Drosophila melanogaster: one gene and its partners. The protein of the gene in region 1 purifies or fractionates together with the protein of each later gene. This does not show direct contact. Each region holds a gene or a part of one and is shown on either strand. Other genes may lie near its edges. The genes, in order: Rpt5, CG12321 and Rdh1.

Region 1 (3,828 bases):
GTCGTAACGCTATTTTTTTCTACCAATACATAACTGAATACTGAGTGATGATCCGCTGGAATCCACACCAGATGCCAGTCAGTGGAGCTATGACCAGGACTAGTGCAAGCGCTGAACTTGTAAAAATTATTTCCTAAGCGAAAAGTAGTACATAGGGTTTGTATAGTGATTAAATTAAAACTTTTAATTAGAGCGTGTACGATCGATATCGATATCTTAATTTCGGTTTTCATTTTTAACAAAAAATTATAAACACAAAGCGTAATGGATAAATGTCTTTTGTCGACGCTGCTCACGGGTTTACAAATCAGCACTTCATTTATTTTATTTTTAATAATAATAATTATTAATAAATTATTATAATTAATTTATAATAATTCACGGCGCGCTTTATTAATTAGTGTTTGTTGTGAGTGTTTTATTTCTCCATGTATGAATCGTATAAAAAGAACAAGAGCGAGCGGCGGTTAATTCTGATCGGTTGACTCCTTGGCCTCGGCCTCAGCATCCTCGTCGCCCTCCTCAACGGGCGGCACAGGGACATCGGCGCTGCTATCGGGCTGGACGATCACCTTCTTGGGACTCGGGCCGTAGCTGTCTGCCTCTGCTGAAATGGCACCAGACGGTCCGGGAGCAGCATCCTCATCCTCGTCGTCGTGAGTCGTCGACTCCGGTTGCAAGCTAGCCGCTGCCTCAGAGGCGACGCCGTTTTTCGCTTCCTCTACGGAACACTCCTCGGGATGTGAGACCTTGCGCTTGGCAATCCGTTCGCTGAGCGCCTTGTGTAGCTGGGCAATGTCCGCCGGTCGGCCCATGGCCAGGAAGATCTTGACAACGCCAGAGTTGTCGATGGCCGTTAGTCGTAGGGACTTTTGGCTGGCTCGCTCCGCCACCATGGCGGCCCAGACTTTGGTGTTGAGAAGCAGGCGCAGATTGCCAGAAGTGCGGAACACCACGCGCGAGTCGCCCCTTAAGTCCTTGGCGTCGTTTAAGCGCAGACTGCCGCGACCACGCTCCTCCCAGTTGCTGTTAAGAAAGGCGAATAGCTTGCAGCTCACGTCGATAATGTTGATCTCGTCCTCCTCGCCGGTGAAGGTCTCGACCTCCTCGTATTTGCGTTTCTGAGCGCGGCTCTCCTCATACTCCCGGGCCACATCCGTCAGGCTCTTGGCCTCGGCGGACTCCTTGTTGTTGCTGCTGCTGCTGCAAATGGATGAGGAGGCAGCGGCCTCGCTGGTCTCTGTGGTCTGGGCAGCGTTCTGAATGACGCTTGAGAAGAGCAATGGCGCCGAGGACGACGTAGCAGCGGTGGAGGAGGAGGCAGCCTCCTGGGCTGATACCGAGCTGGCTGCCGTATCTGCATCCGGCTCAGCGGTGACCTGTTCAGCATTGGGGGCCACCACACGTTCATGCACATTCTGGCCGAAGACGAACCCGCTGGACTGAACATTTGGCATGTTGTTCTTGGCTGCTGCAAACATGCTGGAGCGCTCAATGCCATTGCTACGCAGCTTGGTCAGCGGATCCGGCCGCTCGTCGACATCGTCGTCCTCCTTGTCGCCAGTGGACTCGGCTGCCGCAGATCCGGTGGCCACCACCTCCTCGTCATCGTCGTCGTCCTTGGACTCGCGCAGAAACGGATTATTCAGCAGGGCGCTGTCTTCACCTGCACTTGGGGATGTGGAACTATTGTTGGAGCCGCTGCTGTTTGCCAAGACTGCTGGGCGCAGGACAGCACCGCCCAGGCGAGAAGCCTTCAAGGTGAAGCCACCTCGGAAACAGTTAGTTTCGACTGACGCTTCTGGAAACAAGGGGGAAAAAACAAGACTCGTTTGTCAGTTTGTTGCGAACTCTTCAAGGGCACAAGATTCGCGATATTTGGCAACTTTAAGTTATAGCAAGCATTACAGCTTGTTTTGCTACGCTTACCATTATTTTCAGACATTGCAAACTAGTCTACTTGCAATTTTAAAATATAAATTGCCAAATCTTTTACAGAATAGAGCGTTCTGTGTAAAGCCTGCCGTATTGTTATCGCTGTGTTATCGCTGTCACTATCGATAAGCGCCGGCGATGGCGCTCTGTTGTCAACACTGACTTTTTCAGTGTTGCTTACTTGCCGCTGAAAAACAAGAAATTTACAAGTCATCGACAGAGTGTTTGCCCAAAAAGATCGGCAATAATAGCATTTTAACAAAGAATTACATTCAGCAACGGCTAATCAACAATCGTATTAGACATGGCTCAGACTCTGGAGGATAAGTCAATCTGGGAGGACGGGGAGGAGTCCCTGGGCGAGGAGGTGATGCGTATGTCCACCGATGAAATTGTGAGCAGGACTCGCCTGATGGACAACGAGATCAAGATCATGAAGAGCGAAGTGATACGCATAACGCACGAGATTCAGGCGCAAAATGAGAAGATCAAGGACAACACCGAAAAGATCAAGGTAGGGATGACAATGAAACGCCACCCTGCCAAATAGCCTCATTTGTTAAGTACTTCCCCATTAGGTCAACAAGACACTGCCCTACCTGGTGTCCAATGTAATAGAGCTGCTGGATGTGGATCCACAGGAGGAGGAGGACGACGGCTCCGTCACCGTTCTGGACAACCAGCGAAAGGGCAAGTGCGCCGTCATCAAAACATCCACTCGACAGGCGTATTTCCTGCCCGTCATCGGCCTGGTTGATGCCGAGAAACTGAAGCCAGGTGATCTGGTCGGAGTCAACAAAGACTCCTATTTGATCCTGGAAACCCTGCCGGCAGAGTATGATGCCCGCGTAAAAGCCATGGAAGTGGACGAGCGACCTACAGAGCAGTACTCCGACATTGGAGGTTTGGACAAGCAGATACAGGAGCTCATCGAGGCAGTGGTGCTGCCCATGACGCACAAGGAGAAGTTCAAAAACCTTGGCATTCACCCACCCAAAGGTGGGTATCTCACTCGAACAAATGTCACACAACCATATTAATCCTTGCCATTTACAGGTGTCCTTTTGTACGGCCCCCCTGGAACTGGCAAAACATTGCTGGCCCGTGCCTGCGCCGCTCAGACAAAGTCCACCTTCCTCAAGCTGGCAGGTCCCCAGTTGGTGCAAATGTTCATCGGTGATGGTGCCAAGCTGGTGCGCGATGCCTTCGCCTTGGCCAAGGAGAAGGCGCCTGCCATTATCTTCATTGACGAGTTGGACGCCATTGGCACCAAGCGTTTCGATTCGGAGAAGGCCGGTGACCGTGAGGTCCAGCGAACTATGTTGGAGCTTCTTAATCAGCTCGATGGCTTCAGTTCCACTGCAGATATTAAGGTGATTGCGGCCACCAATCGCGTAGACATTCTGGATCCTGCTCTGCTGCGCTCTGGTCGTCTGGATCGTAAGATCGAGTTCCCACATCCCAACGAGGAAGCCCGTGCCCGTATTATGCAGATTCACTCGCGTAAAATGAACGTTAGCAATGATGTGAATTTCGAGGAATTGTCCCGATCCACGGATGACTTCAACGGCGCCCAGTGCAAAGCCGTCTGTGTGGAAGCTGGTATGATCGCACTGCGTCGCTCCGCCAATTCGGTTACGCACGAAGACTTCATGGACGCCATCATGGAAGTGCAGGCGAAGAAGAAGGCTAATCTTAACTACTACGCTTAGACTAAAAATTTGCAGTTTAACTTCACATTGTCAGCTCCCATTAAAATAAACCATGGAAATGTAAAATTTTTCAGTTTCGATCTGAGTTGCCCCTTGAAGATCGCCTTTAAAATAACATCGCAACGGCTCTTAAAAGTAACTAGAATGGGAGACGTACTGAAATCAATACCCAACCTTTTTA
Region 2 (3,403 bases), 5.6 Mb from region 1:
TAACGAAAAGTTGATGCAGTTCGATAAGATCCTAAATCACTATGATGCCAACACCGATGGCAACTCCAATGTTCCGCCACAGAGTGCCGCCGAGAACTACCAGCTGCACTTTGGGGTTGAGAACATTCGCGTGCCGGAGGTTCTATTCCAGCCCAGCATGATTGGTTGCTCAGAGGCGGGGCTAGCAGAACTAATAGCATTCGTGCTGAAGCTATTTCCCGCCGCTGAGCAGCAGCGCCTGGTTGAGCACGTGTACCTAACCGGCGGTTGTGCCCAATTCAAGGGTCTCAAGGAGCGACTAATCAAGGAGCTCATGGAAATGCGACCGTTTCAATCAAAGTTCGCCATCTACGAGTCGGATGAGCCAACTTTAAGCGCCTGGCTGGGAGCATGTGTGCACGCAGGAGAGCCCACCTTCGGTCAGACGCTGACCACGCGTCAGGACCACCAGGAGCATGGCAGAGAGTTCTTTCGGGAGCACACAGCTAGCAATATCTTTTATCCTACACCAAAAGATTAACATTTATTTGAAAGCACCGAAAAATACATGTAGACGCTTAAAAAAGAAGTTCCGTAACATCATTGCCGAATAGTAGGTTCCAGGACTTGGGCACGGTGAGCTTAAAACTGCCATCGCCTCCGTTGCGCAGCTGAAGGAAGTCTTCGCAGAGTTCGTTCAGTTCCCGGACGATTAGAGATGCATCGGTGGAGTTGTCGCCCTCGAGGAGATAGCGGAATAACAGCATGACGGGCACCTTCTGCTCATCGAAGGCTTTAAACAACTGCAAGGCATTGCCGCCGCCATAGATGGCATCGCCCTTGTGCTCCTTCCACTTGATCAGCTCCTCATTGCCCAGCTGGGCAGCATGCGCTTCCTTGAAGTTTTCGCTGGCGCGGTATGCCCATGGCGACTCCTCAATGACTCGTTTCTCGAAGCCGAAACTGCCGCTTAGAATGACTACGCGTCTGGCGCCCTTGAGGAGCTCCACTAGTTCCTTCTGAAAATGCGCGGTGTGGCGGGCAACCCATGGCGCCCGGAATTGCACGACCAGTAGCTTATCCTCCGTACCCTCGTACAGTTCGCAGGAGGAGACCTTCTCTTTGGGCTCGTGCTGATAGGCGGAGGGTCCGTAGACCGGAATCAGGGCTGGATGTGTGATGGATCCAATTCGCCGGAGTTCCTTGGACGCAATCAACAGGTCACAGGCCAGCTGCGCCGCGTTTCCCACGCAAATGCTCGGTATGATTACTGTGTGCTCTGCTACGTCCAGAGTGGTACGCTTGTCCTTTAGAAACAGCATAATTGGGTTAAATCTCTTGGTGTCCGGAATGAGTTGAAGATGCTAATTCAAGTCAAGTCAAAAATATGAAAGTAATGATTCCAGTGTTGGTGTGTTTACCAATTGACACTGGGTGGCAACTCTGGCAAGGAGCTTAATAAAAGTGCGGTTCAAAAATCAAAAGAGATAACTTCGTTGTTTAAGGTAAACAAATTTTATTTACATTTAAGGACATTTTTTTGACTGCTGCCTACTTATACTTCGCATATAAATGAATATAAGCACGTGGCCAAGCCATTAAATTTCAAAGTTTTGTCTTAAATAAATAAAACTTAATTTAAAGCAAGAAAGTAATTTTATAACACATATTAATTAAATATTAAACATTTTTAAATATCAATATTTTATACATTACATTCGTTACTAACCTGGAAAAAAGTGTTGTTTTTGAGCACTCATTTATCGATAGCCGGCCGCAGACGTTTTGCAGCACTATTCTTTAGTTTTGCTTTGACAAACCAAATGTTTTGTTTCCCGGCGCAAATATGTCGAATTCCGTGAATATATCAGTGGAAACGACTTGCGAGAACCAGATACGTGAGATTGGCTACGATGGCACCGAATTGTATCAGCCGTATGTGTTTCCGCTAGCCAGCAAGCCCTCTTCTCAATGATTTATTGGGTTCTTTGTTTTTTTCTCCTTAGGCCGCCGACTTTGTCGGAAAGTCTGGCGAAATGTGCGGCGCGCATAGACTTCAGCAAGACGTCGCTGGACGACCTCAAGAAGGAGGAGAAGTCGGCGGCAGCGGCCGCCGACGAGGACAAGGACGCCACTCAGTTCCAAGAGAGCCTGTGGCCCTGGGATGCGGTGCGCAACAAGCTGAAGGATGCGCTCACGGAGATATGTGTGCTGTCCGATGTGATCTCCATTGCCAAGGACAAGCGCTATTTAGTGCTCGATCCACTGCTCGAGGAGGCTGACGACACCAAGCCCATTGTGCAGGTGTACAGCCGCAAGAAAGCCATCTCTCAGGCAGCCCAAGTGCTCCTAAGTGGCGCTGAACGCCTGCGGAACGCGCACAGCGAGCAGCGCAATCGCAATGTCTCAGATTTCCACATAGAACTACTGCGCCTGCGACAGAACTGGCGCCTGAAGAAGGTGTCCAATGCGATTATCGGGGATCTCAGCTACCGCACCGCGGGCTCCAAGTTTGGCATGAGCGGTACCTTCGAGGTGACCAAAGCAGAAGAGACCGGTGATGAGGACACAGCCAGCTCATCCAACAGTAGCAGTAGCGTATCCGGCAACAATGGCATGCAACTTAAGGCCAGCTCCGCATTGCGAGTGATTGTTCCAGCGGAACTGCAGGGTGTCGCCTACATAAAGGTGATCACACAGAAGGATCAGGAGGATTTGTGCACCGCTCAGCTGAATCTGATGGGTCACGGACCCAATATAACTGCCCAGGTGGGTGTCTGGCAGAAGACACTGGAGTTCGCCCAGAATGTGCTCTTCTGCAAGGAGCTATTCGCTCAGTTGGCACGTGAAGCTATCCAATTGCAGGCACCAATTCCACATGTGGTCATCGGCAACCAAATTCGCGCCACTCTGCTGCCTAACATTCAACTTATTATCTCGTTGTGCCACTCAACCACCTTCGATTCCAGCCAGCCGGCGCCAATTAACGATCATGATCATGTTCTGGAACACTCGCTGCATCAGCTTCTGCGCGAGGTGCACTACAAGAACTCACACCATCCCTTTCCCCATCCGGCCAGTGCACCACTGGGACCCACTAAGAAGCGCATGCTAGCCGGTCCGATGGCCGCCGATCGGGAAACGTTGTTGGACATGACCAAGTCACAGACCATACTCGAACAGATCATCGCCCAGGCGCAGCACATTTTCATGCGAAAGCGAACACAATATGTGCTCGATACGCTGGCCAGGGATGTGAAGGACCCGCAGATAGTGTCGCATTGGAATGCCATGAACAGTCCAACCATGTCGTGTGTGAAGATTAACATTGTAACGCATGGTTACGATGCCATTGGACGCACCTCGCTGGTCATTCACGTGAAGGAGCGCTCTCTTAAATGCATTTGTCGCGATGGACGTGTTA
Region 3 (3,828 bases), on another chromosome or scaffold:
GGCAAACATTCATTGACAGAACCAGCAAGTGAAACGAACACAAACGGCGGCAAGATCTATACTGTATCCAAACAAAATGGGCTGCCTTACTAATTGCTTGTGCTGCCCCCTCATTTTTGGCCGTCCATTATCGGACTGGCTGCCTACTTGCTAAGGTATTTGCATGGAATAGTTCTACTGCTGAGTAATGATTAATACGCTCGTGAATTGCGGCCTGTGTTGAAATAGAGTGATAAGAATTAATGAATTTCAGAAAATACATGCAGGGCGGTCAGTTCACCAAGCAGACCGATGAGACCGGCAAGGTGTTCATTGTCACCGGTGCCAACACGGGCATTGGCAAGGAGACGGTCCTGGAGATTGCCAAGCGAGGAGGCACTGTGTACATGGCATGCCGGGATATGAACCGGTGCGAGAAGGCGCGCCAGGATATTATCAGGGAGACAAATAACCAGAACATATTCTCTCGAGAACTGGACTTGAGTTCGCTGGAATCCATTCGCAAATTCGCTGCTGGGTAAACGCAAACATGATAGATCGACGAATGCGTTACTGATTTCCCTCGTTTATTAGATTCAAGAAAGAGCAGGATAAGCTTCATGTCCTGATAAACAATGCAGGAGTTATGCACTGTCCCAGAACACTGACCAAGGATGGCTTCGAAATGCAGTTGGGAGTCAACCATATGGGACACTTCCTGCTCACCCACTTGCTGCTGGACGTATTGAAGGTATTTTGGGTACTCAGGACTTTCTTAGCACCTTGTTAACCAAACTCCCTGCTTAATCTCACTAGAAAACTGCACCCAGTCGCATCGTGAACGTTTCCAGCCTGGTGCACACCCAAGGTTTCATTAAAACTGCCGACCTAAACAGTGAAAAGTCGTACAGCAGAATCGGTGCCTATAGTCAGAGCAAGCTGGCCAACGTCCTGTTCACCCGGGAATTGGCCAAGCGCCTGGAGGGAACGGGGGTCACAACCAACTCCCTACATCCCGGTGCCGTGGACACGGAGCTGTCGAGGAATTGGAAGTTCCTGAAACACCCCTTTGCACAGTAAGATAGAAGACATAAGTGGGCACTACTTGAGTTTGATATTAACACTCGTATCGCTTAGGCTACTGCTCAAGCCCCTCCTGTGGGTACTCTTCAAAACCCCTCGCAATGGAGCGCAGACCACTCTCTACGCAGCCCTGGATCCTGCACTAAAGGATGTTTCCGGGCTCTACTTTAGCGACTGCCAGCCAAAGGAAGTGTCCGCAGCTGCCCAGGACGACAAGACTGGAAAGTTCCTCTGGGCGGAGAGCGAGAAGTGGACCGGCGTGAATTCAACCAAAGTTGATTAAGCAACCATTAGTTTATCCCTCGCCATTTCATAATTTATTATTTTAATAGCTTATCATAATGAAGACTAACGCAAAATGTAATAATTTATGTTTGAATTGTAGAATTCTTACGGATTCTACAAGCTGAAAATAAAGAAATGCTCCCAAAAAAGCTTTACCTAATCTAAAATTTGTATTTTGAGATCAACATTGTTGCATTTCTGTGTTCAGTACTAAAGAAAAATGGTCAAATTCTTTTGTTTTTTTTGTAAAAGTGATGGAATCAATTTGGATGATTCATGCTTTATTTTTGTACCCGTTATTCCTGGAGTAGGAGGGTATACTAAATTAGTTGGAAAGTATGTATGTAACATAACGAATCAGTTAGTTCCCTATATCTCGACGTTCAAACGGACGGATATGGCTGGATGGATCGTTTTGACTAGTGTTGCTGATCAAGTCTAAATATAAACTTTATTCTATATGTTACATACTGTTCAGCGAACCTATTATACCCTTTTACTCCACGCGTAATATACCCATTGAGTAAATATAAACATCAATGGAATTGCTTTTATTTGTTTGAATGCTTTCCACTATCATAACATATTATTGAGAATTCGTTTTCTCTTGACCTTCGTTAAGAATCTCTCTCCCGACGTTCTCCATTTCGTCAGGTTCTCACTCCGAATTAGCGATAATATATGTTTGTGTGGGGTAGCTGTGCTCAGTAATATATTAACAGCTGTGCTGTTCGTACCAGAACGCACTCAACGATTGAAATAAGATCTGACAACACCCTAAATACAAGGAATTGTACAAAGATATTCAAAATGTGCATTTTCATCGATTGCTTATTGAGCCCCTTGATTATGTGGCCAGCTACTATCGGCGTGGGCATCTACTTCTTGAAGTGAGTTGCGGTAATTATTTCGTGTAATTATGAAATATACCAGTGTGACTACGCATCCATGACTCGCTACTATGATTCCCCCGGGTAATAGATAACAGCTTTTCAGGTAATTCCTATTGATAATTCCAGGGAGTACATGCAAGGTGGAAAGTTTACGAAGGACACCGATGAGACCGGAAAGGTATTCATTGTGACCGGTGCCAACACGGGCATTGGCAAGGAGACGGCTCTGGAGATAGCCAGACGTGGGGGAACTGTGTACTTGGCTTGCAGGGATATGAACCGATGTGAAAAGGCCCGCAAGGATATCATCAAGGAGACAAATAACCAGAATATATTCTCTCGAGAGCTGGACCTAAGTTCCCTAGACTCCATTCGCAAATTTGTTGATGGGTAAGCTTACCTCCAGAGAATTTTCTTGTCTCTGTAAGATTTAAAAACCTATCCTATCAATCAGCTTCAAGAAGGAGCAACCCAAGCTTCACGTCCTGATCAACAATGCCGGCGTGATGCGTTGTCCCAAGACCCTAACCAAGGATGGCTACGAACTGCAGCTGGGAGTAAATCATATTGGTCACTTTTTGTTGACTAACTTGCTGCTCGACGTACTGAAGGCAAGTGTGCTATATAATAGTCAAGTGCGTCAGATAATGGTCTTACAAAATTTCAGAACTCGGCTCCCAGTCGCATTGTCGTTGTGTCCAGTCTGGCACATGCGCGTGGCTCCATTAACGTAGCCGACCTCAACAGCGAGAAGTCGTATGATGAGGGCCTAGCCTACAGCCAGAGCAAGTTGGCCAACGTCCTGTTCACCCGGGAATTGGCCAAGCGTTTGGAGGGCAGCGGAGTCACAGTAAATGCCCTTCACCCTGGTGTGGTGGACACTGAGCTGGCGCGGAACTGGGCCTTCTTCCAGACAAACCTTGTGAAGTAAGTGATGAATAAGTGAATTAGGACCTTCCCAGTAATACCTGTTAACCTTCCTAGGTTCTTTTTAAAGCCAATGATTTGGCCGCTTTTAAAGACACCGAAGAGTGGAGCTCAGACCTCGATTTACGCTGCTTTGGATCCGGAGCTTAAGAACATCTCTGGCCTGTACTTCAGTGACTGCAAACCAAAGCCTGTGGCTTCTGGTGCCTTGGACGATAAGGTTGCCAAGTTCCTGTGGGCCGAGAGCGAGAAGTGGACCGGATTAGATAAGCTGGAAGCTAATAACTAAAGAAGAACGAATAGTGTTAGAACAAGCCTTTTATTATACTTGAATACTAGCTGCTGTTTCACGAACGGATTAATAAATAAATACATATTTCTCTAGCTTTCATAAAGCATATTTCATATTTCGCATAAGTCGATTAGTACGCCTGTTGGCTAATAAGTTTCCAGTTTAGTTGGCTTTCTGCTCAGTTGCTCCCGCCGTGATAAACACCCTGGAGTGGAGCACATGGGTTGTGGGTTCCCTCTTCTCTTGCGCATTGTTTACGGTGTTGACGTATGTGTACTGCATATAGAAGCCCAGAACGACGTCTGCTAATCCGGACAGCTCCTCTGCTGGGGTAAACTGTAGCCGCAAAAGCACCTTGTTGCCCTTCCG

Evidence for each region.
Region 2: the proteins of Rpt5 (region 1) and CG12321 purify together in Drosophila melanogaster (affinity purification with mass spectrometry, with the first as the bait; one large-scale study listed by BioGRID). This does not show direct contact.
Region 3: the proteins of Rpt5 (region 1) and Rdh1 purify together in Drosophila melanogaster (affinity purification with mass spectrometry, with the first as the bait; one large-scale study listed by BioGRID). This does not show direct contact.

Annotation. Positions count from the first base shown.
Region 1 is NT_033777.3:23,750,775-23,754,602, forward strand, and holds the start of Rpt5 (regulatory particle triple-A ATPase 5), read left to right. Parts: upstream 1-2,101; 5' UTR 2,102-2,239; coding exon 2,240-2,449; intron 2,450-2,513; coding exon 2,514-2,934; intron 2,935-2,991; coding exon 2,992-3,647; 3' UTR 3,648-3,828. Other genes in the region: RanBP3 (Ran binding protein 3), read right to left, coding at 468-1,801, 1,930-1,945.
Region 2 is NT_033777.3:18,187,305-18,190,707, forward strand, and holds CG12321 (uncharacterized protein), read right to left. Parts: upstream 1,404-3,403; 5' UTR 1,302-1,403; coding exon 558-1,301; 3' UTR 521-557; downstream 1-520. Other genes in the region: Arp5 (Actin-related protein 5), read left to right, coding at 1-520; MED17 (mediator complex subunit 17), read left to right, coding at 1,826-1,914, 1,986-3,403.
Region 3 is NT_033778.4:7,663,780-7,667,607, forward strand, and holds Rdh1 (retinol dehydrogenase 1), read left to right. Parts: upstream 1-2,048; 5' UTR 2,049-2,157; coding exon 2,158-2,237; intron 2,238-2,366; coding exon 2,367-2,630; intron 2,631-2,694; coding exon 2,695-2,851; intron 2,852-2,907; coding exon 2,908-3,167; intron 3,168-3,224; coding exon 3,225-3,456; 3' UTR 3,457-3,564; downstream 3,565-3,828. Other genes in the region: CG2065 (uncharacterized protein), read left to right, coding at 261-517, 574-730, 796-1,055, 1,117-1,345; DCTN4-p62 (dynactin 4, p62 subunit), read right to left, coding at 3,622-3,828.